Mus musculus: one gene and its partners. The protein of the gene in region 6 purifies or fractionates together with the protein of the main gene of each other region. This does not show direct contact. Links are inferred from orthologs where the notes say so. Each region holds a gene or a part of one and is shown on either strand. Other genes may lie near its edges. The genes, in order: Med4, Med31, Med18, Med25, Polr2b, Med9 and Med13l.

What was found.
Region 1: the proteins of Med9 (region 6) and Med4 purify together in Homo sapiens (affinity purification with mass spectrometry; 10 studies listed by BioGRID and IntAct, with this or other methods). This does not show direct contact. The link is inferred for Mus musculus from reciprocal best matches to the Homo sapiens genes MED9 and MED4.
Region 2: the proteins of Med9 (region 6) and Med31 purify together in Homo sapiens (affinity purification with mass spectrometry; 4 studies listed by BioGRID and IntAct, with this or other methods). This does not show direct contact. The link is inferred for Mus musculus from reciprocal best matches to the Homo sapiens genes MED9 and MED31.
Region 3: the proteins of Med9 (region 6) and Med18 purify together in Homo sapiens (affinity purification with mass spectrometry; 6 studies listed by BioGRID and IntAct, counting the BioPlex papers as one, with this or other methods). This does not show direct contact. The link is inferred for Mus musculus from reciprocal best matches to the Homo sapiens genes MED9 and MED18.
Region 4: the proteins of Med9 (region 6) and Med25 purify together in Homo sapiens (co-immunoprecipitation; 3 studies listed by BioGRID and IntAct, with this or other methods). This does not show direct contact. The link is inferred for Mus musculus from reciprocal best matches to the Homo sapiens genes MED9 and MED25.
Region 5: the proteins of Med9 (region 6) and Polr2b purify together in Homo sapiens (affinity purification with mass spectrometry; 4 studies listed by BioGRID and IntAct, with this or other methods). This does not show direct contact. The link is inferred for Mus musculus from reciprocal best matches to the Homo sapiens genes MED9 and POLR2B.
Region 7: the proteins of Med9 (region 6) and Med13l purify together in Homo sapiens (affinity purification with mass spectrometry; 5 studies listed by BioGRID and IntAct, with this or other methods). This does not show direct contact. The link is inferred for Mus musculus from reciprocal best matches to the Homo sapiens genes MED9 and MED13L.

The regions. Positions count from the first base shown.
Region 1 is NC_000080.6:73,513,049-73,516,046, reverse strand, and holds part of Med4 (mediator of RNA polymerase II transcription subunit 4), read right to left. Parts: intron 2,243-2,998; coding exon 2,072-2,242; intron 758-2,071; coding exon 700-757; intron 1-699. UniProt on the Homo sapiens protein: Component of the Mediator complex, a coactivator involved in the regulated transcription of nearly all RNA polymerase II-dependent genes.
Region 2 is NC_000077.6:72,212,531-72,216,830, forward strand, and holds the start of Med31 (mediator of RNA polymerase II transcription subunit 31), read right to left. Parts: upstream 2,801-4,300; 5' UTR 2,459-2,800; coding exon 2,431-2,458; intron 1,686-2,430; coding exon 1,608-1,685; intron 1,344-1,607; coding exon 1,247-1,343; intron 1-1,246. Other genes in the region: 4930563E22Rik (uncharacterized protein C17orf100 homolog), read left to right, coding at 2,801-3,190. UniProt on the Homo sapiens protein: Component of the Mediator complex, a coactivator involved in the regulated transcription of nearly all RNA polymerase II-dependent genes.
Region 3 is NC_000070.6:132,458,229-132,460,921, forward strand, and holds the end of Med18 (mediator of RNA polymerase II transcription subunit 18), read right to left. Parts: intron 1,886-2,693; coding exon 1,332-1,885; 3' UTR 501-1,331; downstream 1-500. UniProt on the Homo sapiens protein: Component of the Mediator complex, a coactivator involved in the regulated transcription of nearly all RNA polymerase II-dependent genes.
Region 4 is NC_000073.6:44,882,425-44,885,924, reverse strand, and holds part of Med25 (mediator of RNA polymerase II transcription subunit 25), read left to right. Parts: intron 1-20; coding exon 21-141; intron 142-423; coding exon 424-586; intron 587-714; coding exon 715-845; intron 846-1,004; coding exon 1,005-1,092; intron 1,093-1,168; coding exon 1,169-1,362; intron 1,363-1,674; coding exon of another isoform or gene 1,675-1,677; coding exon 1,678-1,806; intron 1,807-2,740; coding exon 2,741-2,826; intron 2,827-2,899; coding exon 2,900-2,957; intron 2,958-3,058; coding exon 3,059-3,166; intron 3,167-3,500. UniProt on the Homo sapiens protein: Component of the Mediator complex, a coactivator involved in the regulated transcription of nearly all RNA polymerase II-dependent genes.
Region 5 is NC_000071.6:77,341,484-77,344,983, reverse strand, and holds part of Polr2b (DNA-directed RNA polymerase II subunit RPB2), read right to left. Parts: intron 2,455-3,500; coding exon 2,204-2,454; intron 2,124-2,203; coding exon 2,034-2,123; intron 1,815-2,033; coding exon 1,707-1,814; intron 193-1,706; coding exon 79-192; intron 1-78. UniProt on the Homo sapiens protein: Catalytic core component of RNA polymerase II (Pol II), a DNA-dependent RNA polymerase which synthesizes mRNA precursors and many functional non-coding RNAs using the four ribonucleoside triphosphates as substrates.
Region 6 is NC_000077.6:59,946,933-59,951,013, reverse strand, and holds the start of Med9 (mediator of RNA polymerase II transcription subunit 9), read right to left. Parts: upstream 2,801-4,081; 5' UTR 2,748-2,800; coding exon 2,536-2,747; intron 1-2,535.
Region 7 is NC_000071.6:118,738,719-118,742,218, forward strand, and holds part of Med13l (mediator of RNA polymerase II transcription subunit 13-like), read left to right. Parts: intron 1-76; coding exon 77-282; intron 283-3,107; coding exon 3,108-3,500. UniProt on the Homo sapiens protein: Component of the Mediator complex, a coactivator involved in the regulated transcription of nearly all RNA polymerase II-dependent genes.

The DNA of each region.
Region 1 (2,998 bases), on a different chromosome or scaffold from region 6:
CATACTGGCAAGCAGAGAACAAATCAGAGATGGAGAAATGGCTAAATGTAAACCAAATGCACAAAGTATTAAAGTGAAACAGCTGTAATTTCACTCTTGGTATAAAGACCAACTAGACCATGTAAGGCTTTTAAGTGGGCAGGAGGCAGGCAGGCAGGCAGGCAGGCAGGCACAGTGTACTAGCTGATGGTCTCTGACTCTAGTGTTTCCTTCTCAGTTTAGCTGTGTGGTTCCCAACATTGTTTCCTCCTAGCATTCAAGATCCAACTTCAATTTTGCTTCTCCTTCTTTCTCAACACTTCTGTAAACCAGTGTCCTCACTATACACCTGAGATAAAGCCCCATCCGCTTCTCTCATTGGTTATAAACTAACGGAGGGTTGTGAGCTACGTGTACCCTCTTCAGGATGCAAGAACACATCACACGCTACACTGAGTAACTACTGAGCATCCTCCCAACAGCCCGACTGGAGTAGTTTTTAGTTTTATCAACTAAATATTTTATTTTCATGTGCATTGATATGAGAATGTGTGCATGTGTGTGTGAAAGCATGTGAGTGTGGGCACGTACACAGCTTATGCGGTTCTAGGGATCACACATGAACAAACTTTTTACCCACTGCATCTTCTCCCCAGCCCTTATCAGCATCCTAAGACATGGGCTTATATTTCAGCCAGGCAGCCTTCCCATGGTACCAACCTTTTCTTGCTTTCTCTATTGACTTGAGTTTTTCCTTTGCCTGGTAAACAGCTGTTGCCTAATTTGAACAAATTTAAAATACAAATTATTCTTCACTATATCATGCACAGTTTTTAGATACACAAGGTTACTCACCTACAGAAACAATAACAAGACTTAGAAATCCCTGAAATTTATCAGTCGTCTTTCTGAAGCACCACTTAATCTCATTTATATCACATTAAATATCACTTATAGTTAATGAGAGAAATGTATTCACAACTCAGCCTCCTGTTGATAAATAGCTGTTAGAAAGCCATGGCCGTGCAGGGAGGGAATGCCGGGGTGAAGGGTTCCGTGGGGATTAGGACGGGAGGAGAGAAGATGAGGGCTACAAGCAGAAAGTCCTCTTGGAACTACAACACACCAGCCCTGCCTAGAGAGACAACAACAACAACACTGGATGTGCACTGTGCTACTGTAAAACAAAGGCAAATTTTCCTTTTTCTACTTTCTGTATTTTCTGGTAAGTAAATATTTCTTTCACTAGGAAAAAAAAAATTTTTTAAAGCATTTACTTAAAAATCCAAACAAAAACCCCAAAGTATTCACCTGTGATGGTTCCTTCTTATGGGCAAAACACATGCACATAAAACCGTTTATTTTACAAACAGAAATGTTTTAAATAATAGAAAACAAAGGAACACCTAATACAGAGCCTTGATTGATAACTTACCAACTTAAGATGGAAGAGCAGATAGATTAATGAAATTTTAAATATTCTGTGAAACTAGTACATGTTTATTGACCCAAAATATTTCACAAACTAGACAGTTTGATTACTTATATCAAACCTTAATTAGGTCAAAAGTACAATTCCCTTCCAATTTCTATAAAGCATTTAAATAAAATATATAGCACAAAAATAATATAGGCTATCTGAAAATAAATGGGAGGGTGGTCACTGAACCATGGGTAGGATGAGGCAGGAGGATAGCCACCAAGTTTGAGTTTGCAATTGGCATAAAGTCCTATCTAGCCAACTAAAAGGGGTGGGGGGCTAGGAAGGTAGTTCACTGGTTAAGAGCACAGACTGATCTTCCAGAGGACCCAGCAACTACATGTGGCTCACAAAACTGTCTGTAACTCCAGTTCCAGGGGATCTGATGTCCTCTTCTGGCCTCTATAGGCACCAGGCACACATATGATATGATATACATGCGTACATTCAAGCAAAACTCTGATGCACATAAAGTAAAATAAAAACAACCTTAAAAATGGCAGCTCCCCCCCCCCCCACACCCTGCGCTCGAGCACACACACAAACTAAGATAACAGACCCCTCAGAAGAGAATGAAGCAGCTCCCTCTCTCAGGACCATCCATCAACTCACCAGGATCTGCTCGGCCTCTTTCAGCTGTTTCTGCAGCTGCTGAATATCACTGTCTCTCTTCTCTACTTCTTTCTCTAAAGCCTGCATTTCGTGGTGAACTTTTCCCTGATTAAGTGCTAATTTCATTAGTTCTTGGAAGTCCCCATCTCGGTGAATTAGCAACTCCAAGACCTGTAGAGTAACAGTTGATTCCATCAGACAACAGGATTATCAAGGCTACCACCAGGAGATAATCTATAATTGAATTGGCTAGGTTTATACATTTTAACACCTTGAAATATTCTTAATCAGCATGCCATTTGTGGTTATTTTGGGAAACAGTCTTAATACCAAGAAGTGCCATTCATTCTGCTCCTCTTCCATAAAGAACAAATCTTTCAGCAGTAGTACCATGCCAAATTTCAGATTTGTTCACCTTCCAAGGATAAAATTTTTAAATTTATCCTTAACATACAATGGAACTAAAAAACAAACAATCAAACAAAAAAACCTCCTCTAAAATCTAATGCTTTCAGGCGGCAAGTTTAACAGGCAGTAAGAGACTTAAAAACTTTGAAATGTAATTGCACTGATATATTAGAAGCTATATGACACCCAGTACTGCTTAGAATGCAGGTAGTCTGAAGAATGAGGTGGTTAAAAACACAGTACAATTGAATAGATGGTATACAGATATGGCAAAAGGCCACAAAGGTTAATACCCAACAGGAGCCTGGGGTTCAGTTTGCAGCCCTTCATTTGCTAGTAGTACGACATAGGAAAAATCACTGCCTTGCATGAGCCCATTTTTCTCCTCTAGCGAGAAAGATTCACTAATAACAGCATTTATTAAATAGTGTTAGTACAGGCCAGGCTGTTCTCAAGACTCGTGACATAATGCATGTTATAACACAAGAGCTCAGCAGGCCAGGCATGGTGACACCTGTA
Region 2 (4,300 bases), about 12 Mb from region 6:
TCCGGTCTGAAAATTTGCTAGCATGTAACATTTTATATCTTCTAATATAACTTCAAGTCTATCATTTGGATTCCTAAAGGAATCTATAATTGCATCATGAAGAGCAAATCTACAGGCAGCAAATCAAGTCAGGAAGGTAACGAGGATAAAAAGAAATTTTTGAAATGTTTTACTCTCATTTTTAAAATTAGAGTCTCTGCCGGGCAGTGGTGGCGCACACCTTTAGTCCCAGCACTTGGGAGGCAGAGGTAAGCATATTTCTGAGTTCAAGGCCAGCCTGGTCTACAAAGTGAGTTCCAGGACAGTCAGGGCTACACAGAGAAACCCTGTCTCGAAAAACAAAACAAAACAAAACAAAACAAAAAAGAGTCTCTCTGTGTGGACCTGATTGGCCTGAAATTTGCTACATAACCAGGCTGGCCTCAAACTCATAGAGATCTACCTGACTCTGTTTCTTGAGAGCTGGGATTAAAGGGATGCCAGGCTAAACTTCTGGTTTTTCTGTTGTCTCCTCCTTTGAGAGGCACATCTAGACAGGGCTTACCTGTGTAGAGCTTGCTGCCCTGGAAGTAGCTCTGTAGACTAAGCTGGCCTTGAATTCATGTGCCCACCTCTGCCTCCCAAATGTTGGGATTAAAGGTGTGTGCCAGCTTCTTCTTCTTCTTTTTTTTTTTTTAAGTCAAAGCTATTGAGTTTGATAGTGTCCGTGTTTGTTCTTTTACAGTGAGTTAATGTGTACAATACATTTAGCACAGTGCTCGAAACAAAGAACACTCACTATAAAGAAGGGCAGTACCTCTAAAACTCCCAGAAAACAATACTTCCTACCTTCCTAGATTATAGTTTGGTAGGCATTAAAAATCCAGAAAGACAAGGGCAGTGCTAAGTGACAAGGTTAGACACCAAATTACATTAGAACTATAGTCTGAAACCAGTTGACTGGATCTTAGCTAGCCTGCATGAACAGAAGTGGTGTGTTCTGGCTTATATTACTTAGAGAGTAAGCTGGCTCCCATGAAGACAGTTGTTTGGTTCTGTTTGAAGGGAGTGAGGTAAGAATGGTAGCAGAAATAAATGCAATTCCTAAAATAATCTAAGTTACAGATGACAGTATCTTACATTAACTAAAAGCAGAAAGATTCAAAATATCATTTTCCATTCCCACACAGAGAAAACTGCTCAGTATCAGCACTTTGTATTTATGATAAAGTATACACAGATTTAGGATTATAAAAATTAAACTTACTTTAGATATTTGGCATATTCTGGTTCTTTCCAGTAAAGCAAATACTTAAGATAATTAACAAAAGCTTTGTCTTTGAAGTAACCTCTTTGGGCAAGAACTGAAAGACACAAAGAAACAATCCGTATGTCAACCAACCGCTGGACTACTGATTAGTAATCTCTAAAACAAAGTAGCTCTTAACATCCCTACCAACAGAACACAAGGAATTAAAAACACAAGCCTTTGTTTGCCCAGTTAACTTACAGACCAGAACAAATAAAATCCCATTCAAACACATCGAAGTAATAAATAGTATTACAAACTGCATCTCTTCTCAGAAATTAAGAGCTAGTTGCTTAAGTTAGTGATGTACTTAACTTACAATTAAGGTAGTTTGGGTTGGCTAAACATTGCACAAATTCCAACTCCAACTGAAACCGAAGCCGATTTCCAGCATCATCTAGGAGAAAAGACAAATATCAAAGTGCAGAAGAGACTTTCTTAGAAATTAAAGATATATGTATATGCGTGTGTGTATATATGTGTGTGTGTGTGTGTGTATATATATATATATATATATATATATATATATATATTCACTAAGTAATGAGGCCCTGTTTCCAAAACAAAAATAGTAAAACAAAAAATAGTAAAGAAATCCTTTAAAGTTAATTGAGGAAAAAATAAGTTGAATGGGAATTTACCACCTGCAGGCCACTTTGTTAGCGGAGATCACTGGACAGTCTGTAATAGCTGTGCGGTTCCCTAAGTTGTTATAACCACAACTATCAACTGTGATTACGTTAAGCAAAATCAATGTGCTACACAAAACCGAAGCATGATGCAAAGTGATTAAACAATGGAGAGAAGGCGGTGTCCGCATTAGAATACACAGGTTATCGATATTTCGGGCAAGTTCTTGGGAGTACCTTCAGCACAGACAGTGGAAGGTCTCAGTCCTCTCCCACGGCCCTGCACGGCCCCAAGAGCCAGGGTTGGAGTAGGGGTTTGAGCAACCCAGGAGCAAAGATGTTTTCACAGACCATAGTCTGAGAAGCAGCACAGCCTTCTCCTCCGCCGGTCCCAACTCTAAGGATGCCAAGTTGAACCCGAAAGACAGCGCAGGAAAAGGGAAAAGGGAGGGAATTTCGGGGCGTAGGACCATTCCCTTGGGGTGAAGACTCGGGGTGCAAGTCACAACGTACCTGTCTCCATAGCGACGGCCGCGGCCATAACAATCAGAGTGAGGCGAACACCACCAGCCCCGACCGAACCGCGACTTCGATTGGTGAGAATCCGGAAGCCACGGCTCCTACTTCCGGTCGCGGGGCAGAGTGGGACACGAGGGCGGGGACAACCTCACTTATGGGAAAATTAGCCCCACCTATCTGTGCAGACCCGGCCGGCTGCGCGCGCAGATATCGAGCGGGGCGTGCCGGAGGACTTCTCATTTTTTAGGTCTCAGAGTCCTGCTACCTACCCCGACGTAATACACCACCCTGACGTCACCTTTCCCTGTGTGACGTGACGCAGAGCATGATCCTTGGGCCTCTTTGTCCCACCTGACCAAGGTGTATGGGCAGGATGGCCTCGCCCCTTAGGAGCAAGTCCTCCGCCCCGCGAGTGGAAAGCACCCGCCACAAGGAGACATCGACTGTCCGCGTGGAGACGTCGTCCCACCGCGAGGAAACGTCATCCCACCGCGTGGAGACGTCCTCCCGGCAGGTTCGAACGTCTTCCCGGCAGGTGGAGACCTCCCAGCGCCACCGAGAGGGGCCCTCCCTCACCCCCTCCACGAAGCGACTCCCTCAGTTCCTTGAGGTGTCCTCCCAGCACGTGGAAACCTCCTCGCAGTGCACGGAAACGTCCTCCCGCCACGTCAGGGCGTCGTCATCCCTGAGGGTGGAGACTACTGTGCACCGTGTTGAGAGCCCAGCCAGGCAGAGTGCCAGAATGGCTCGATGAAGTGCCAAAGGTCCTTAGCCAGGACTGAAGAGTTGCCAGCCAGCCATCTTCCAGGAGAACCGAGCATCTTTGGTTTCATGGAAAGAACCCATAAATCAGTGTAAGAAACAGGCTGTGGTTTCTGGGGGCTGTTAACATGTATTGACATTGCAGCACCTTAGACCATCCTGTTGTTGACCCCAGTGTGCTATTAACTTGAAGCCAGCACAGAAGGTTTCAGACTGGTAGTGCAGTATAAACCTGGCTGATGGACAATGAGATTCTTTGAGTCTCTACACCAGGTAAGTTTTATAGTCTTAGGTCACTCTAGGATGTGTTGACGACTTGAAATTTGCAAAGAGGGGCCAAACTTGTCATGATTCTTGACCGCTGGCCTGATCATATACCTGCTTGAAACCTACAGGGCAAGGTATCATCTTTCATACATTATTAATTGGCCTTTATTAATACTTATATTTCATTATACATTTTCTCATGTTGTCATACATAGTATTCCACCCACACTTAAAAAATTAAATCAGGGGGTATAGGAAAAAACAGGACAATTAATAAACAATCAATAAAACCATTAATAATCTTGGAAGGGAAAGTAAAGAAGAAGCCATGACACTTGGCCTGAGGCGTGAGATTGACAGGATGGTAACTGAGTATTACTGCATGCTAGGTAGTAGTTAGAGCATGGCAGCTAGAGCAGTGGAAAAGACTAGGATCTTCCTCTAATGAAGAGACATGCAACAAAGGGGAAAGTAAGACAACATGCTGTTGTATTCCCGCGAAGGAAAGGCTGTCTGTCTTGTGGTAGAGAGTAGGGAACTCTTTAGAGAATATGGTCAGGGAAAGCCTTGCTGATTACATTTGGTCCGAGATTTGTGTGAGTGGACAGTGAGCCATATCAGGATCTAGAGGGAAGTGCATTCTAGACAGAAGGGAAAGTCTACATTTTTTTTAAAAATCAAAGATGTTTATGTAAGAGAAAGATCAGTTAGTATATGAGAGCGTGGTATAAGGAAGAAAACAAAAAGGAGGAAGATGCCACTTCATATAGAGTCTTGGAAATCTTCTGGGATTACAGTAAAGAGCTTGAATTTTATTCTGAGATCATCAAAAGAA
Region 3 (2,693 bases), on a different chromosome or scaffold from region 6:
TGCCTGCCTCTGCCTCCTGAGTGCCAGGACTAATGTTAATGGCATGCACCACCAGCACATGGCCCTTTTCTTGCCTGAACATGTCTGTGTACTGAGTGTGTGCCTGGTGCCTGTGTACTTCAAAAGAGAGCATCCAATCACCTAGAACTGGACTCCTACGGAAGGTTGTCAGCACTCAAGGATGTGTTGGAATTAAGCCTGGTCCTCTCTGCAGGAGCAGCCAGTGCTCTTTAGCAGCTAAGCCACCTCTCCATCACCAGCTACTTGAATGTTTTTGATTACATTTGTGTGTGGGTGTGCACACATGTGGGTGCAGGACTCAACCAATCCTGTGGAGAAACAGGACGGCAACAGGCAGGAGTCGGTTCTTTCTTTCTCCCATGTGGGTCCTGGAGAGGCCCCCACAGCATACACAATAACAACAATAGTAAGACAGAACTATAGCAATATAGAAGTAGACTAGGAAGGAGTTAAGACGAGTAAGAATCAGAATCACAACTGAGTCTTTTCAGTCTTTATTACCACACAATGCTGGCTCACACCACCATTGTAAACCTTGTATATCAATGGCAAAACAACACAATTTAAAACATATGAAGAAAACAACAAATAAATAAAGGAATAAAAAATGTTTCTCTAAAAAAAACAAAAAAAAAACAAAAAAAAAAAAACAAACAGCCGGGCTTGCGTGTTATCGCACGCCTTTAATTCCAGTACTCGGGAGGCAGAGGCAGGTGGATTTCTGAGTTTGAGGCCAGCCTGGTCTACAAAGTGAGTTCCAGGGCAGCCAAAGCAACACAGAGAAACCCTGTCTTGTATTGAAAAACAAAACAAACAAACAAACAAACAAACAAACAAAAAACAAAAAAAAAAAACAAAAAAGAAAAGAAAAGAAGAGAAAAAAGAAAAAAAAAGCAAAATATTATGAGTTGTTTTTTGACCTTTCCTCTGAAAAGCTAATTTATTCCAGTTCCCTCTTTTTGAGTGGAGGGAGGACTTGAACAAATCTCCATATTATCCTGGGTCTTTCATTGGAAAAGCCTATCAAGAAGATGAACAGTCAGGTTTAATAAGGACCTTGCAGGCACTTAGGCGGGAAGTACAGGGTCCTGAGTTCCAGGGTAGCTAGTTTATGTAGTGAATTCCATGGTAAAACCCTGTTGCAAGAAAAAAGAGACATTACCAAGTGAAGGAAACAGTTGAAAGGAACCAGGTCTCGCCATCATCTTCTGGAAGGAAGTGGGCCCGGCTGGCAGCAGTACCTGGGCTACTTTCGAAGTCTCTCACCTCCCAGGTGGGGACAGGCCTAAAAGGCCGACAAACTTTCTTCATCACATCAGCCTTTTGGGGTCTATTTTTTCCAGGTGAACCAGAGGTTTGAGCTGCTCTGCAAAGTTCCTCATGTCATCAGAGACCATGTCCTGCCCAGCCGGGGCGACAACACTTAATTCCACAAGATAGGAGAGGGACAGGGCCTCGGTGCTGTCCGTGTTCCCTGGGACCAGGATTCGGAAAATCTTGTACACCACAACCTTCATGATGCCCTTCCGAAACAGGTGTCCTTTGGCGACAAACTCATGGTCCATGCGGAAGCCCATCTCCATCAGGAAGTCCGTGAGGTTCTCAGACGTGGCGATGTCCACACAGTTGCGCACCAGGGCGTGGCGGTTCTTGTCTCCCATTTCGGGCTGTCCCAGGTATCGCAGATGCCAGGGTGCCCCTGCCCTGTCCATGGAGCGCCGGGCCCTTAGGACGAACGGGCTGGCCTGCTGGCCCTTAAGCAGGAAGACCATCTCGTGATCAAGGAAGGTCTCAGGCTCCATGTTGTCACACAAACCTCGGAGGCGATGGATGAGGCTTTCCAAACTGTGGTCCAAAACACTTCCTGAAGAGGCACAAGCACAGTGAGTCCCGGCTTTCATTTCATTTAGGGTCATGAAACCAGCGAAAGATACACACACCAAATAAATAGTTCTATGCAACGTTTTCTAAGAACAATCCATGGGATTCTATTTATTTGTCTATTCAAAACGTTTTATATTTAGTCATTCTTGTCTCGGCAAACTCGAGAATACAATGGCACATAAATGTTGGTTGGAGGATAACCCGCTAGAACGGATTCCCTGTGGGTCCCAGATTGAACCCAGGTTGTCTGACTTAGCAGCAAATGCCGGGTAGTGGTTTGCATGACAGTAGCCCCCACAGCTCCTGGATTTGAATGTCTAGTCTCTACTTCCTATTGTTTAGGGAAGGACTAGGAGGAACGTCCTTGTTGGAGGAGGTGTGTCAGTGGGAGTTTTCAAAAGCGGGCCCCCATCTTTCTGTCAGTGGCTCAGGCTGTAGCTCTCAGCTACTGCTCCAGCACCTGCCTGCCTTAATGGGATGAAAGGGGTGTTATCACCATGCCCGGCTTCTTGTTCTGAAGTATAATTATATGAAAAAGAAAATCTGAATTTGTTCTACAAATGGAAAAATTGCATTGGCTATAAATAAATCATTGTGGCTGGGTGTAGATCTGTGAGAGACCATGTGCTCCAGATGCAAGGCCTTGCTGGGGTTTGATCAAGGCACCAAGAGGACCAAGGCTGAGGGATGGAGCTTAACGGCTGAGGACTGACACAGAAGGCTCGGGGTTCAATTCCTAGCACTATAAAATAATAAAATTAAACAACAACAAAGATTAAATAAGATTA
Region 4 (3,500 bases), on a different chromosome or scaffold from region 6:
CATGACTTTGTCCCTGGCAGTGGCCAGACCCACCGAGTCTGTCTCCTCATCTGCAACTCACCCCCGTACCTCCTGCCCGCCGTGGAGAGCACCACCTACTCAGGCTGCACTACCGAGAGCCTGGTGCAGAAAATAGGAGAGGTGAGGGGAGTGCTGAGTTGGGGGCTGCACCCCTGTGTGGGAGAGAGGGAGGGAGGGAGGGGGAAGCCCACACCTGGATCCTAGGAAGCAGGCTGGGGTCCGAAACCCAAGGCAAAAAATAGCCAAAGTCTCTGTGCTTGCTTACGACTGTCCATACTCAGAATTCTGGGTAACCTAAGGCCAGGCTTTACGTGCCCACGGTGTGCTGTCCCACCCCGAGGCAGGGGAGGAGACTAACTCCAGCACGTTCATGGAGGCCATTATTGCTTTCCCCTTCTGCAGCGAGGCATCCACTTCTCCATCGTTTCTCCGAGAAAGCTGCCAGCCCTCCGGCTTCTGTTTGAGAAGGCGGCTCCTCCTGCCCTACTGGAGCCTTTGCAGCAACCAGCAGACGTCAGCCAGGACCCCAGGCACATGGTGCTTGTGCGTGGGCTCGTGCTGCCTGGTGAGGCCTGGGTACTGTACGCTAAAGGGGGGGTTCCTTTTCAGTACTCTGTTAACATGGATTTTTGGTTGTCCCTTTTCTACCCCCAACTCCTTCTCTTGGGCCTGTGTTGTCTCTCCTGTGCTCAGTTGGTGGCAGCTCGACCTCAGGCTCTCTGCAGACCAAGCAAGCAGTCCCCTTGCCACCAGCTCCAGCTTCTGCTGCCACGCTGTCAGCAGCGCCCCCGCAGGCTCTGCCCCCTGTCCCACCACAGTACCAGGTATGGATGTAATGGGGGGGGGCAGCTCCTGGGGCCCTGTGGAGACTTGGCCTCTGTGGGGGTGGAGTCAAAGCTCCTGGGTCATCAGAGCTGTGTATTTTGCTTCGGGGTGCAGAAGTACATAGTTCTAGGGGCACATGGTCTTCTTTCATGTGACAGGTTCCTGGGAACCTAAGTGCTGCTCAGGTGGCTGCGCAGAATGCTGTGGAGGCTGCCAAGAGCCAGAAGGCCGGGCTGGGCCCACGCTGTGAGTTCTAGAAGAGGCAGAGGGGGCTTCCCTACATTCTGACCCAGCTACCCACTCACGCTGGTTTCTCCCACAGTCTCACCCATCAACCCTCTCCAGCAAGCTGCTCCAGGAGTGGGGCCCCCCTTCAGCCAGGCCCCAGCACCCCCATTGGCTCCTGTGCCCCCTGGAGCTCCAAAGCCACCTCCTGCCTCACAGCCTAGCCTAGTCTCCACCGTGGCCCCCGGACCAGTCCTGGCAGCTCCTGCGCAGCCTGGGGCGCCGTCTCTGGTAGGTGGCTCGTCGTCCCCAGCCTCAGGCTGCTGCTGTGCTCACAGTAGATGAAAGGTGGTACCTAGCCTCCCGCAAGGGGCCTGAGCTCCACGGTGAGGTGCATAGCTGTGATGTGCAGCTCTGGGGCAGGGCTGTGGGCTCCTGGCCTGAGGAACCCAGGTATCCTGGAATTCTGGGAGTCTGGTTCCTCATGCTTGGCATGGATGGTCTCAGACATATGGTTAGTGGTCGCGGAGGTCCTTTGTCCCGCTCCTATAAGGTGTCTACTCCCCGACAGAGCATGGTGTCCTCATTGCTGTTTGTCCTCAGCAGGCAGGCACTGTAACCCCAGGTGGGGTCAATGGTCCTTCAGCAGCCCAGCTTGGGGGTCCTGCACTTGGTGGGCAGCAGTCAGTATCCAACAAGCTCCTAGCCTGGAGTGGAGTCCTCGAGTGGCAGGAGGTGAGTGGCTGAGAAGGGGGGCTCCCAGAGCACTTAGGATATGCAGAGGAAGGCAGGATGTGTGGCCCAGCTCTCAAGTTGGCATTTAAGAATTATGTTGGGGGGGCTGGTGAGATGGCCTAGTGGGTAAGAGCACCCGACTGCTCTTCCGAAGGTCCGGAGTTCAAATCCCAGCAACCACATGGTGGCTCACAACCATCCGTAACGAGATCTGATGCCCACTTCTGGAGTGTCTGAAGACAGCTACAGTGTACTTACATATAATAAATAAATAAATCTTAAAAAAAAAAAAAAAGAATTATGTTGGTAGCCGGGCGTGGTGGCGCACACCTTTAATCCCAGCACTTGGGAGGCAGAGGCAGGTGGTTTTCTGAGTTCGAGGCCCGCCTGGTCTACAAAGTGAGTTCCAGGACAGCCCGGGCTATACAGAGAAACTCTGTCTCGAAAAACCAAAAAAAAAAAAAAAAAAGAATTATGTTGGAGCCAGGCATGGTAGCATGTCCCACCATTCCCAGTACTGGGGAGGCAGAGCCAGATGGATTTGAGTTTGAGGCCAGTGAGTTCTAGGATGGCCAGGGCTACACAGAAAGACCCTGTTTCAAAAAACCAAAAACAAACAAAAAATTTTATTGGAGCTCATTGGTTGAGCAGTTGTCTACTAGACACAGGCCTCCATCCCCAGTCAGTCAACATGCGTGCACACACACACCCAAAGCAGCAAAAACCAAAATTTGTGCTTTCAACAGGGTTCCAGATATTGGGCTCTGGAGGATAGTGACCATAAGATTTAGGGCCCAGAAGAGGGACCCAGTGTTTGTGGGATCTGGGCACTTGAGTAGGGTTGCTGGGAAGGTGGGGGGAGGGGTTGTGGGCCTGCAGGAGCTGGTGAAGGTTAGGTCACCAGGCCTTGGTTGAGTCACCCTTTCTCTTTCAGAAACCCAAGCCTGCATCTGTGGATGCCAACACCAAGCTGACGAGGTCTCTGCCTTGCCAGGTCTATGTGAACCATGGAGAAAACCTGTAGGTATTTGTCAGGGGCGGGGCAGGCTCAGCCTGACTGCCCTGACTCTCCTTTCCCTGTGCTGCCTTCCAGGAAGACTGAGCAGTGGCCCCAGAAACTGATCATGCAGCTTATCCCTCAGCAGCTGCTGGTGAGTCCTGCCCGGCCAGGCCTGCCTGGGCCTCACACCTTGTTCCTCACGTGATGCTTCCCCTCTGTGTGTTGCCCCACGTGATACCTGTATGCTTCCAGACCACCCTGGGTCCGCTGTTCCGGAACTCAAGAATGGTTCAGTTCCACTTCACCAACAAGGACCTGGAGTCCCTCAAAGGCCTCTACCGCATCATGGGCAATGGCTTTGTGAGTGCACTAACTCCTGTCCCCTTCTCTGCCAACTTGGTGAGGGCCCCGGGGACCCAGCCCCAGGAGCTGCTGATCCTCGCACCCTGTGCCTTATTGTGGCACTGCAGATAGAACCTCGTCCTTGCTTAAGTACATGTGTCCTAGGGCCCACTGAGTCCCTGAGATAAGACATACTGTGTAGCAACACCTCCACGTGGACGTCCTGCTGCCCCAGGCTCCCTTGGGTTGCCTTTGTAGGCTTGTGCAGTGGAGCCTGACTTCTCTGCCCCTCTTGTTTTCTGTTGGATAGGGCCTGCCCTTGCAACTCATCTGACCTGTTGTAGGGGCATCT
Region 5 (3,500 bases), on a different chromosome or scaffold from region 6:
AGGTAAACAGCTTTCTTATATATATAAAAGTACCCTCCACAGAATATGCTTGCTACATTCAGGTTATAGTAAATGTACCTCGTTCCCTCTGAGATGGTAGCCATAGTCAGACAAAAGATTAGAAATCTTCTGCACATTGACAGCATCATTAAATGGAGTAGCGTCACCAATTTCACCCTTGTTGGCAGAGACCTTTGGGATGAAAGCACGTATGAAAGAAGTCACACATCAATAGAGACCCAAATTAAAAATGTTTTCTATAAAAGGCAAAATTTTGAAATTAAAAATGGTTATAAAAGTTGTGATATACTGAGAATCATTTTTTTAATATCTTACCTAAGAAAGATACTTGTAACAAAGTAATTTCCTAAAAAACAAGGGCTAAAATGCTCTCAGATTGAAGTCTATCCATGGGATCCTACACGAAGATAGCAAGGATCCCAAACACGTCTGATGTACTCATGGAAAACAACATCTTAATGTCTTAAATGAAGCCATCGTGTTAGACTACTATCATTTTACTTTAACAAGACACCCAAATCCAGAAAACTTACCCTGAAAGATGAATACACAGCTGATACCAAAATTTTAACATTTCCTAAAGCCATACTAAGTGAACTGTCTATGAATTAACTCATCTCTAGAAAAGAGCCAGTTGCTATAACCACAAATATCTGCAAATGCTGTTTGTACTATATCTTACAAATAAATTAGTCTTAAGCCCCAGTGGTATAATTGGCTAGCACAAGGTACTTGGGCAAAAACTCTTCCTTGGTAATACTTGGCAGTTTTTCGAGTGTGCAAACACGTGTGTGTTGGTATGTGTATGTGAAAGGGAGGAACACACATCTATGTGTAGAAGTAGAAGAGGACATCAGGTTGCTGGTTAACTTGTCAACCAGAAACAAGTGGGAGCCTGAACTGGGGAACTGCCACCAGACTGCTCTGTGAGGACCTGTCTTGACTGATGTGGACATGTGAGGCTCAGTGCACCTGAGGGCCACCATCCAGGAACAGGTGTGGTACTGGAAACCAAACTGGGCAAGCCCGGGGCATGGGGATCCTCCACAGCCTGTTTTAGTTCCTGCCCTGACTTCCCTTCGAGATAGGCAAGACTGTAAGCTGTGGGATCAAACAAACCCTTTCTTCCCTAAGTCGTTCTATCACAGCAACAGGCAAAAACCAATGCTCTATCATTCTTCATACTGCCCTGAGACAGGTCTCTCCTTCCTGAACTTTGAGCTGGGCCACCAATCCACAGTGACTCTCCTGTCTCCACACACATCAACAATACACTGACTGGGGTTACAGCACCCCTCGACACACACATTATTTATATATCAATTTCTTTATGCAGAGATCAGAAGTTAATCTGTCCTTCCAGCATGCGGGCGGGATCAGGTATAAGCTCAGGCTGTCAGGCTTGCTAACGTTTTCCCAGCCCTGGGTCTCATGACTCTTTACATGAATAAACCGAGGGCATCATGCTTGCACAGAAATGCCCCTATCTACCAAGCCGGCTCCCTAACCACTCACAGATTTCTTCAAAATGAAAAAGCATGAAAAAGTGGAATAACCAGTCTGAATGCAGGAAAATATCATATTAGCTTTTAACAAAGTATCTTGGCTCAATGATCAGAGAAATGGTCACCAAAATGAAAGAAACATCAAGTTGGAACCTATTGCTTTTCAAGACAAAATCTTACCTTCCCTTGGAGACATTCGATCAAGTGACCAATTGTCATCCGGGAGGGGATGGCGTGGGGGTTTATGATGATGTCAGGAGTTATGCCTTCGCAAGTGAACGGCATGTCCTACAGAGAAAATTGTAAACAACATAAAGACATGGGAATCTCTTAGAGACAAAGCTAGACAGACCTGACACTTCCCAAGGGAAAACTTGAATGTCCTAATTCTTTTCAACATAATAGGCTAACAAACACTAAAATTAAAAAAAAAAAAGCTACAGGAAATTTTAATTAATCTTTCAATACAACTCTGGGTTAGGCAAGAGAAAGACTGGAGACACCTACCTCTTGTCTATACTGAATACCACAAGTTCCCTTCTGACCATGTCGGCTAGCAAATTTGTCTCCAATCTGCGGAATTCTAACAGAGCGCACCTGGTTTCACATAAAAATGAGTTAGAAACTGAAACGCAATTAATTTCTAAAATGGTCTACATGAATAAAACTATACTCACCCTTATTTTACAAAATTTATATCCTTCCTGGTTGAGAGTGACCATGACCTGGTCCACGATGCCCGTCTCACTAGTTCTGAGGAAAGTGCTGCAGTCCCTCTTGGTGTAGCGCCTGTTGGTGCTCTCCAGCTCATCCTCGTTCTCGGGTAAGGTGACTGTCTTGCCGATAATAACGTCATCTCCGGAGACTCGGACCCCCGGAGCTATCAAACCGTCATCGTCCAACTTTTCATAGATGGCATGCCTCATTCCTGGAGCAGAAAGACAGGGGACTTTCCTAAGTGACACTAACGGGAAGTATTTAACACGCCACACAGCTCCTCCAACAAGCATGAGAAATGCATGTATAACTCTGTACAAACCAGTGATTAACTCATAGCAAGTCTCTAGCACCACAATATTGTTCATTACTGTCCTTATTCCAAACCCCAGAAACTCTGCACTCTAATACCAGGTGTGCGTGTACGTGTGCGTGTGTGTGTGTGTATGTGTGTGTGTATCTGTGTGTGTGTATGTATCTCTGTGTGTGTATGTATGTATCTGTGTGTGTGTATATCTGTGTGTGTGTGTATGTGTCTATGTGTGTGTGTGTATGTATCTGTGTGTGTGTGTATATGTATCTGTGTGTGTGTATATGTATCTCTGTGTATGTATGTATCTCTGTGTGTGTATGTGTGTGTGTGTGTGTGTGTGTGTGTGTGTGTGTGTGTGTGTGTGTGTGTAATCTACTATACTATACCTGGACATGGTGGCACACACCCTTAATCCCAACGCTCAGGAGGCAGAGGCAGATGGGTCTCTGTGAGTTTGAAGCCAGCAAAGACTCCCGAGCAAACACCTTGTCTCAAAGTGGGAGTGGGGAAATAGCTCAGCACTTAAGATCACTAGCTGCTCTTCCAGAGGACCCAGGATCAAGTCCGAGTACCCACACGGCAGCTCATAACCATCTGTATCTCCAATCAGATGTTCTCTTCTGGCTTCCATGGTCATTGGGCATATACACAGGCAAAACACTCATACGCATAAAATAAAAATGATTTTTTAAAAAGGAAAAGAAACTTACTAAGGGAAAAAAAGGAACAGAACAGTAGAAAGTTGGATTCTATCAAAAGAAGCATTCCCTATTGTGTGGCCACTGTCACATGAGGAAGAATGCCTGTGTCCTACACATGTATTCTCCCACAGCATCGTTAGCTGTGCTCACCACCCCCGCAACCCCACCCCAAATACAGGTTTCTCTGTGTAGCCTGATATCCTAGAACTCACTCTGTAGACCAGACTGGCCTTAAACTCCAAG
Region 6 (4,081 bases):
TGTCACTGAGGCTGGCCCAACCCAACTGCTCTTCCGGGTCAGGAGGATCCTTCCTGAGGTATAGGTGAATGTGTATACATCTGTGTTCTGATTTCCCATGTTTTTAATGTTTGCAAGTTACTCTGAATAAACCAGTACTCCAGCACTGCCCTGAGATGGTTTTTATTTTCCTCACTTCCATCTCATAATGTATTTGCCAACAGCTAACACAGAGGGGACAGTCTGCCTTACCCTGCATACGGGAGGTTCACGTTGTCTGAAGCCAAGAGAGGAGTGAACGTGAGAACCAAGGTTTTGCAGTCATTTGAAAAGCGGCAGATGAGCGCTGTGCTATCCCACTTTTATGTCAACTTAACACAGAGTCAGCAGAGAGGAAGGAAACTCAGTTGGAAAAATGCTCCCACAGAAGCATGCTGTAGGCGAGCCTGAAGAGCATCCTAACTAGTGATTACAGTGAGGAGGCCCCACCCACTGTGGGGAGTCACCCTGGGCTGGTGGTCTTACTAGAGTAAGAAAGCACGCTGAAGTTGGGCAGTGGTGGCTCATGACATTAATCCCAGTACGTAGGGGTGTAGACGCAAGCAGATTTCTGAATTTGAGGCCAACCTGGCTTAAAAATAGTTCCAGAACAGCCAGGAATACAAGGAGAAACAAACACAATAAAAAAGGAAGAGAGAGCGCACTGAGCAAGAAAGCACTCCTCCATGGCCTCTACATCAGCCTCTGCCTGCAGGTTGCTGCCGACTTCCTCCAGTGAGGAAAAGTGATACAGAAGTGTAAGTCAGATAAACCCTTTCCTCCACAGTTTGCTTTTGGTCAGTGTTTCAGCACAGCAGTAGCAGTCCTAAGACAAACACCAAACCACCAGAGCAAGAAACCCAGACTGCCTCAGCTCCAGCAAGAGGGCTTGCCAATGTTCCTAAATGTGACCGGAACTGTAATCTTGTCTTAATTTACTTTTAGTATCTAATGGTTTAGAAGAAATTCAGAGGTTTGCACCTAGTGTCCTGTGGCTATACAGGTATGTGCTAAATAACCTGATTAATGCCAGATCATATATTCAGTAACTGTCTAATGCTTATAATGTAACCAAAACCTTCCTTTGCCTAATGACAAAGTAGTTGTGGTAATGTTGCAGCAGAATGCGCCACTCACAAGAGTGTGAAAAAAAAAAAAGTATACTGCCTGATGGATAAAAAGTATTACCTATACAATTACAGGTAGTTCTTAATGCTTGATAATGATAATAAATAATGATGTCACTAGTTTATGGATGTATTATACTGTAGCGCTTCGCCTTGTTGCCTAGAGACAGGGTCTCATATTAAATAGGAAGTTAACAGTGTCAGCCAGGCAGCCTGGCCAGAGCTCTTGAGATCTGTCTGTAGCGCTGGGACGCTGGGGCTCCAGGCACGAGCAGCCATGACTGGCTTTTTATGTGGACGCTGAGGATTGGAACTCAGATCCTTGTGCCGTTTGTACCGCGAGTGCTCTTACCCACCAACCTGTCCAACTCCCAGTGTTGCTAAGAATCCTGACTGCACAAAGAGGCACCAGGCAGTAACTGTTCCGCGTCACCTAAGTTTATCAAAGCACACTTGAGAATGCTTGCACCAAAAAGTGTACCTCTTGGAAATGACCCAAGCGTATATGGAGTGAGCAAAAACATAGGCCATCATGGAGACTGGAGACTTTGGGCCTAAAAGACCATACATCCTTGTATATTCTATTAGAATTATTAGAATAAAGTTAATAGTGGGACACAATCATTCAGAGCAACTTCTGTGTCTTCGTTTCAAATGTTTCCTAGCATCACTTCTCCCCTCTCCACTTGTTTGTTTGGAGACAGGGTTTCTCTGGATAGCCCTGGCTGTCCTGGAACTCACTCTGTAAACCAGGCTGGCCTCGAACTCAGAAATCCGCCTGCCTCTGCCTCCCAAGTGCTGGGATTAAAGGTGTGCGCCATCTCTCCACTTTTAAGAATGTTTGTTTGTTTTTCTTTGCTTGTAACCGTTAAGCCCTGTAAGGGTAAATGGCTGCTCCTTTCTTTACGGTGTACAACCCTAGTACCTAACAGAGCCCACACAGGTAAGATGCCTCGCATTGAAATGGGTACTAAACTGTGTACACGGTGAGAATCTCGAGTCTGAACGTCTGAGGTCCACCAAAATTCGAACACTTTTCGGGGCTCATATAATGCCACAAGTGAGAAATTCCGCTCTGGGCTTCATGCGAACAGTCAAAACGCAGGCGAATTAAAACAACTGTATAAAATTGCCTTCGGGCTATGTGTAAGGACTTAAGACCCATCCCCAAGTCACTGCAGGATCTGGGATGGGACACTGCAGAACCTATCTATGCATTTGATCAGTACGTGGGCTTCACCCGGGAGTAAAGTGTAACTCTTAAGGCGCCTGACAACGTGGGCCCTCTGGGAAAATGGGGCGTGGTCCAGAGCCCACGGGCTTTGGCAGCTCGGAACCAGGGACACTAGAGTCGCAAAAAGTGGTGTCTTAACCTTTCCTAGACCCTTACCATTTGATGACATTGTGAACCAACGGCAAAAAGGAGTAATTCTCCTCCTTCGCGCCAGCGGGGGACTGAGGCCGCGGAGCCGCCGGCGGCGGGAGCGCAGCGACCGGCAGAGGCTGAGGCGGTGGTGGCGGCTTGGACTCCGGCAGCAGCTCGGGCGGTGGCTGTAGCGTATCTTCGGCCTGTCTCCCACCCGCCACCCCAGAGGAAGCCATAGCACCAGGAGTCCAGCAGCTGCCGAGGGGCGCTGGGTGCTTGCGTCACAACTGCGCGCCCGGGGAGGCCGGGCGGGAAAAAACTCTGAGTCTGCGCCCTGGGCGTAGGCGGGCGGGCGTTGCTAGGCGACGGGTGTCGGGAAAGCTAAATTGAGTAGTCAGGATTAGGGAATCTACTCCAGTCATCTTTCTAGTTCACATGACAGAGAGAGGTCAAAACACCAACGAGGACCCCCGGGACTGGCAGGAAGAACGGATGACGCTGGTGAGCACCGTGTGAAACTGAGGCTCTGCGGCAGCGAGCATCCAGATGACAAGGACTTACACGTCTTTGTGTCATGCTAGCCTCCAGGAGGGCCCCAGACTGGCGACAGCAAAACAGGCCATACAAACTAGTTCCACACGGCTGCCAAGGGGAAAACTAATCGTTCTTCAAGCATTTGGTATGCATCTAGCAGGTGCCAGACTACATACGTATATAAGACTAAGATCTTGGACCAAATAGGAGAACTTTACGATAGGCTTGTATTTATTCATTTCAAGCAAATGGGCTCCATTAAAAATTTTCTGGACAAGGGTAGCAGTAATTCTGATTCTGACTAACAAAAATCAGGGATTAGGGAAGCTGTCAACTGGGAGAGGACATCTGTCTTTGATGACAGGAACCATGTCAGTAAAGAGAGGCCAGGAGCCCACATCTCAGAAACAAAAAGAAGCAGGAACGTGGAACTTCACAATGGTGTTTTCAGGTTTTTTAGCTACAGGTCTCAGAATTGTTTTCTTCAGAGCTGCAGATAGTTCTCTAAACAGAGGCACTGTCAGGAAAAGAATAATCTCAGTGTTGCTCAAAAGAAGACAGAAACAAAGTGAAACAAGGTGATTTATTTATTTCTTGAAAATGAGTGCACCAGAACTCAAGATAAGATAGCAGAAACACTCAACAAAATGGCCACTTTCTTCCATCTCAGGCTTAGGTGCATTTCATCCCATTAGTGGGAACACAACTTCTCAATATGACTCAATGGGCTAATCACCCAAAGGGAAAGGTGGGTGGGGGGAGTGGAGTTAGGGAATACAGGCCCCTGTGGAACTAAGTGTCTGATTAGAAGAACATTTCTCACTGCAGGAAACTGTAGGATTTCCTTCTAACCCAGGACCTCTCCACCTTAGGGGAAGGGCCATGATTCCTGAGGAAGAAGGGAGAAGAGAATGGTCTAAGATGGAACCAGGTGTGCCAGAAAAGACTTGAAGACACCTCTGGAGACATCTGGGAGAATGCATGGTAAAACGGCAGTGTTAGCAAACAGTAGCTATCACTACTACTGTGGAATGAA
Region 7 (3,500 bases), on a different chromosome or scaffold from region 6:
GGTTTTATGAAGCACCGAGCCACCGTGGCTGGCTCTAGTTTGCCAGCATTAAGCCAACCCCATTTCATTGTCACAGGACTTTTCCTATGTGCACAAAGTGCCGCAGTTCCAGCCTTTCGTGGGATCCTCCATGTTTGCTCCACTGAAGACGCTGCCGAGCCATTGCCTGCTGCCTCTGAAGACACCTGACGCCTGTCTGTTCCGGCCCTCATGGGCGGTCCCTCCTAAGATGGAACAGCTGCCCATGCCCCCTGCAGCCTCTTCTATTAGAGACGGCTACAAGTATGTGTGGGACTCTACCTACCCCTTACCATATGTGATAGCACCTCACTGTTTTCTCAGACTCGTCCCGGGGCCACAGTGGCTCAGTCTCTGAGACCACTTGCTCGCTTAGTTTCCTTTTGACCATGTTGTCTTGTGCGGGTCTGTGTGTTTATTTTTAAATGTTTCTTCTGTGTGTGTGTGTGTGTGTGTGTGTGTGTGTGTGTGTGTATGTATGTGTGTGTGTTTGTGCGCACTTGCATGTTTGTATACAAATTAAGATTAGAGAGCTGTGTGTGATTCTAAGCTGGTGTTTGCCATAGAATCTACACTTGATTGAAGTTGTTGATGTTTGTGGGTAGTGGGAGGAGCTTTGATTTGTAAGGTAATGGTTTCAGTGTGGGACTTTACAATTAGGTAAAGCAGTAACAGGTTGAGGTGTGGTTGGGGAAAGTAAAGGTAGACATGGCTGGTAACTTGGTTGTCTCGACCTGCCGGAGAAACAGTATTTATACCAGCAGTGCAGACTCCGCTTTCTTTGAAAGAAAGAACCTCTTATTCAGATAATTTGCGAATGCAAATGTGCATCTGAGCCACATGCATGTGTGGATGGATAAGCAAGCAAGTGCAGGTTGCAGGTGTTTTGCTCGGTTTCACTGCAGGGACTGTGGAGATGAGTGGGCTCCAGCACATGCCCCTTCTTAGGGACAGTTGTCAGGCAGGGAGATTGAATATGTATATTGTCTTATTTTAAAATGTTAACCACTAATTCAAAGATAAGCCTTAGGAACAAGTAAAACAAATTTCTGGTTCAGGACTCATTTTTGTCACATGTCTGTGACAGACGCCAGTGATTTACATAGTCAGTGTCAGAATGAGGAACTGGGTAGAAAAAAATGACAGGAGGACCCTGGATTTGGGAGCTAGCACCACCATGCCGTGTGACAGCTCTGCCTTATAAAATGGCTACTTGGGCTTGAAGGGTGCTGCACCTGGGTCTCCCACGCCTTACAGTGGGCTCCCTCTCCCCAGAGCTTTGGGAAAGCTCCAGCAGCCAGTGGCAGCAGACCACGGTGGGGAGGGGAGAGGACTGTGCCGCTGCCCTGCAAGTGGTTGGCCTGGCTGCTGCCAAGCTCCATTTGGGCTCTAGCTGTGCAGCCTCAGCCCCAGACTCTCTGGACAGGCTCTGGTAGTCGTCATGCTCTGAGCTGTCACTATACCCATCACTCACTCCTGCCCTGTGCCCTCTGCAGCAGAGGTTAGGCTGGCATTGCTACAGAGCCTGTGCTTACAGGAAGGTACCTTTTCCCCTACGGTCTGATGTGTCGTGGTCTGATGTCAGCGTTGACCCCTACCATGTGGCTAGTTTGTTGTTAGCTCTGCTTCACTTAAAACTAGCCTTGGGGTCCCAGACCTGCTTTATGGAGCAGGCAGCACAGCTCTGCACTGTCAGGGTCCCACTGGGTTCCCCAGTGCCCACTGCGTTTGGCTCACCTGTCTGTCACACTTGGGACATTTGCTGATGCTTGCTTCAGGACTGCTGCAGGCCACGCCAACTTCTGTCTCTCTGCTGACTGTCCCATTTTTCACACAAGATTGGTCTTCAGTCCATTCTTAATGAACAGGGAAGAATGAGGCTGTTTTCTACCTAGGGAACAAGTGAAGTACTTAGATTTTCAGTTAGCAATCATGGATCCTTTTTGGTCCAAACTGCAGATTCATTTTAGAATTTTGTTGACCAGGAAAATTTAAAGGAATCTAGTGAGTGTGCAGATAGTTATTTATTGCACTGTTGAATTTCTGTATCAGCTTTTGTTTGAACCCAAGAAACCCTTGTATGTCAGGGTTTATATAAATATTGCCTGATACCTGGGACACCTGAGATATCTGGGCCAATGGTGCAGGTTCTAGAAGATTACAGGGCAATAACTGTGTAAGTAATACAGGTGTGCAGCTCACTGAGGAGCACAGGCTTCATGTGCCAAGGCACCAGAACTGAAATACTTGCTGTCCCTGATGACTTGCAAGTGCACAGGCCCATGGGAGTGTGTTGAGATGTTTTATAATGGTAGAACATGCAAATGCTGCAGACATGGTCTCCTTTTCTGCTTGGCTGCTCTTCCCAAGCCACTGCTTATGAGGTAAGCCCTGTCCGTCTGAGGAATGAGAGTGATTGTGTAGAATATGTAACATGGAAGGATAAAGAAAACCGAAAGGGAATCTTCAGGAACCTCTTGGTGCGTCTTTCTCAGTGACTGCTGAGTGACACTAAAGCCTGTGCAGGACAGACAGATGGGCACAACAGTCACACAGTGCTGGGGACACGCAAGCCCTTACCAGGGCTGCCTTCTGAATTAGGAAAGCACCACATTTGAATGTGTGTTTGGTTACAGCTACTTCAGTATCATTACAGAATCATAGCCTCCAAGAAAAGCACACAGGCGGGCTCTCAGTTTCAAAGATGGCAAAGATGTAGCTGCAGGGTGGATGCAAGCCCTGCAGTGCTCCAGCTAGTCTAGGCTGCACTCTGTGCTCCTCACACAGCTTCCTCCATGACCGCTACCGTGCAGGCTCCCCACAGCTCCACAGCAGGTCAAGGTGTGGAGTGTGTGTGTGTGTGTGTGTGTGTGTGTGTGTGTGTGTGAGAGAGAGAGAGAGAGAGAGAGAGAGAGAGAGAATTCTCATGTTCTCCCTCTGCCCCTCTCTCCTTCCTTCCTTCTCTCCCTCATTTTTTCTTTGTTTTTGAAGAGAAAATTGCAGATATTCAGTGCAGGGCTATGGGGTGGGGTGTGCAGGGAGCTTCTGTACACTCCCCCCCCCCCAAAGCTACTTTGTATCTGTTGCAGTAACGTGCCTAGTGTCGGGAGCCTTGCAGACCCAGACTATCTGAACACACCACAGATGAACACACCTGTGACACTCAACAGCGCCGCCCCTGCCAGCAACAGTGGAGCTGGAGTTCTCCCATCTCCAGCTACCCCTCGGTTCTCTGTCCCCACACCACGAACCCCCAGGACTCCAAGAACTCCCAGAGGTGGGGGCACTGCTAGTGGCCAAGGGTCTGTGAAATATGACAGCACAGATCAGGGGTCACCAGCTTCCACCCCCTCTACCACAAGGCCCCTTAACTCTGTGGAGCCTGCCACCATGCAGCCAATTCCTGAGGCCCACAGTCTCTATGTCACCCTCATTCTGTCAGATTCTGTGATGAATGTCTTCAAGGACAGGAACTTTGACAG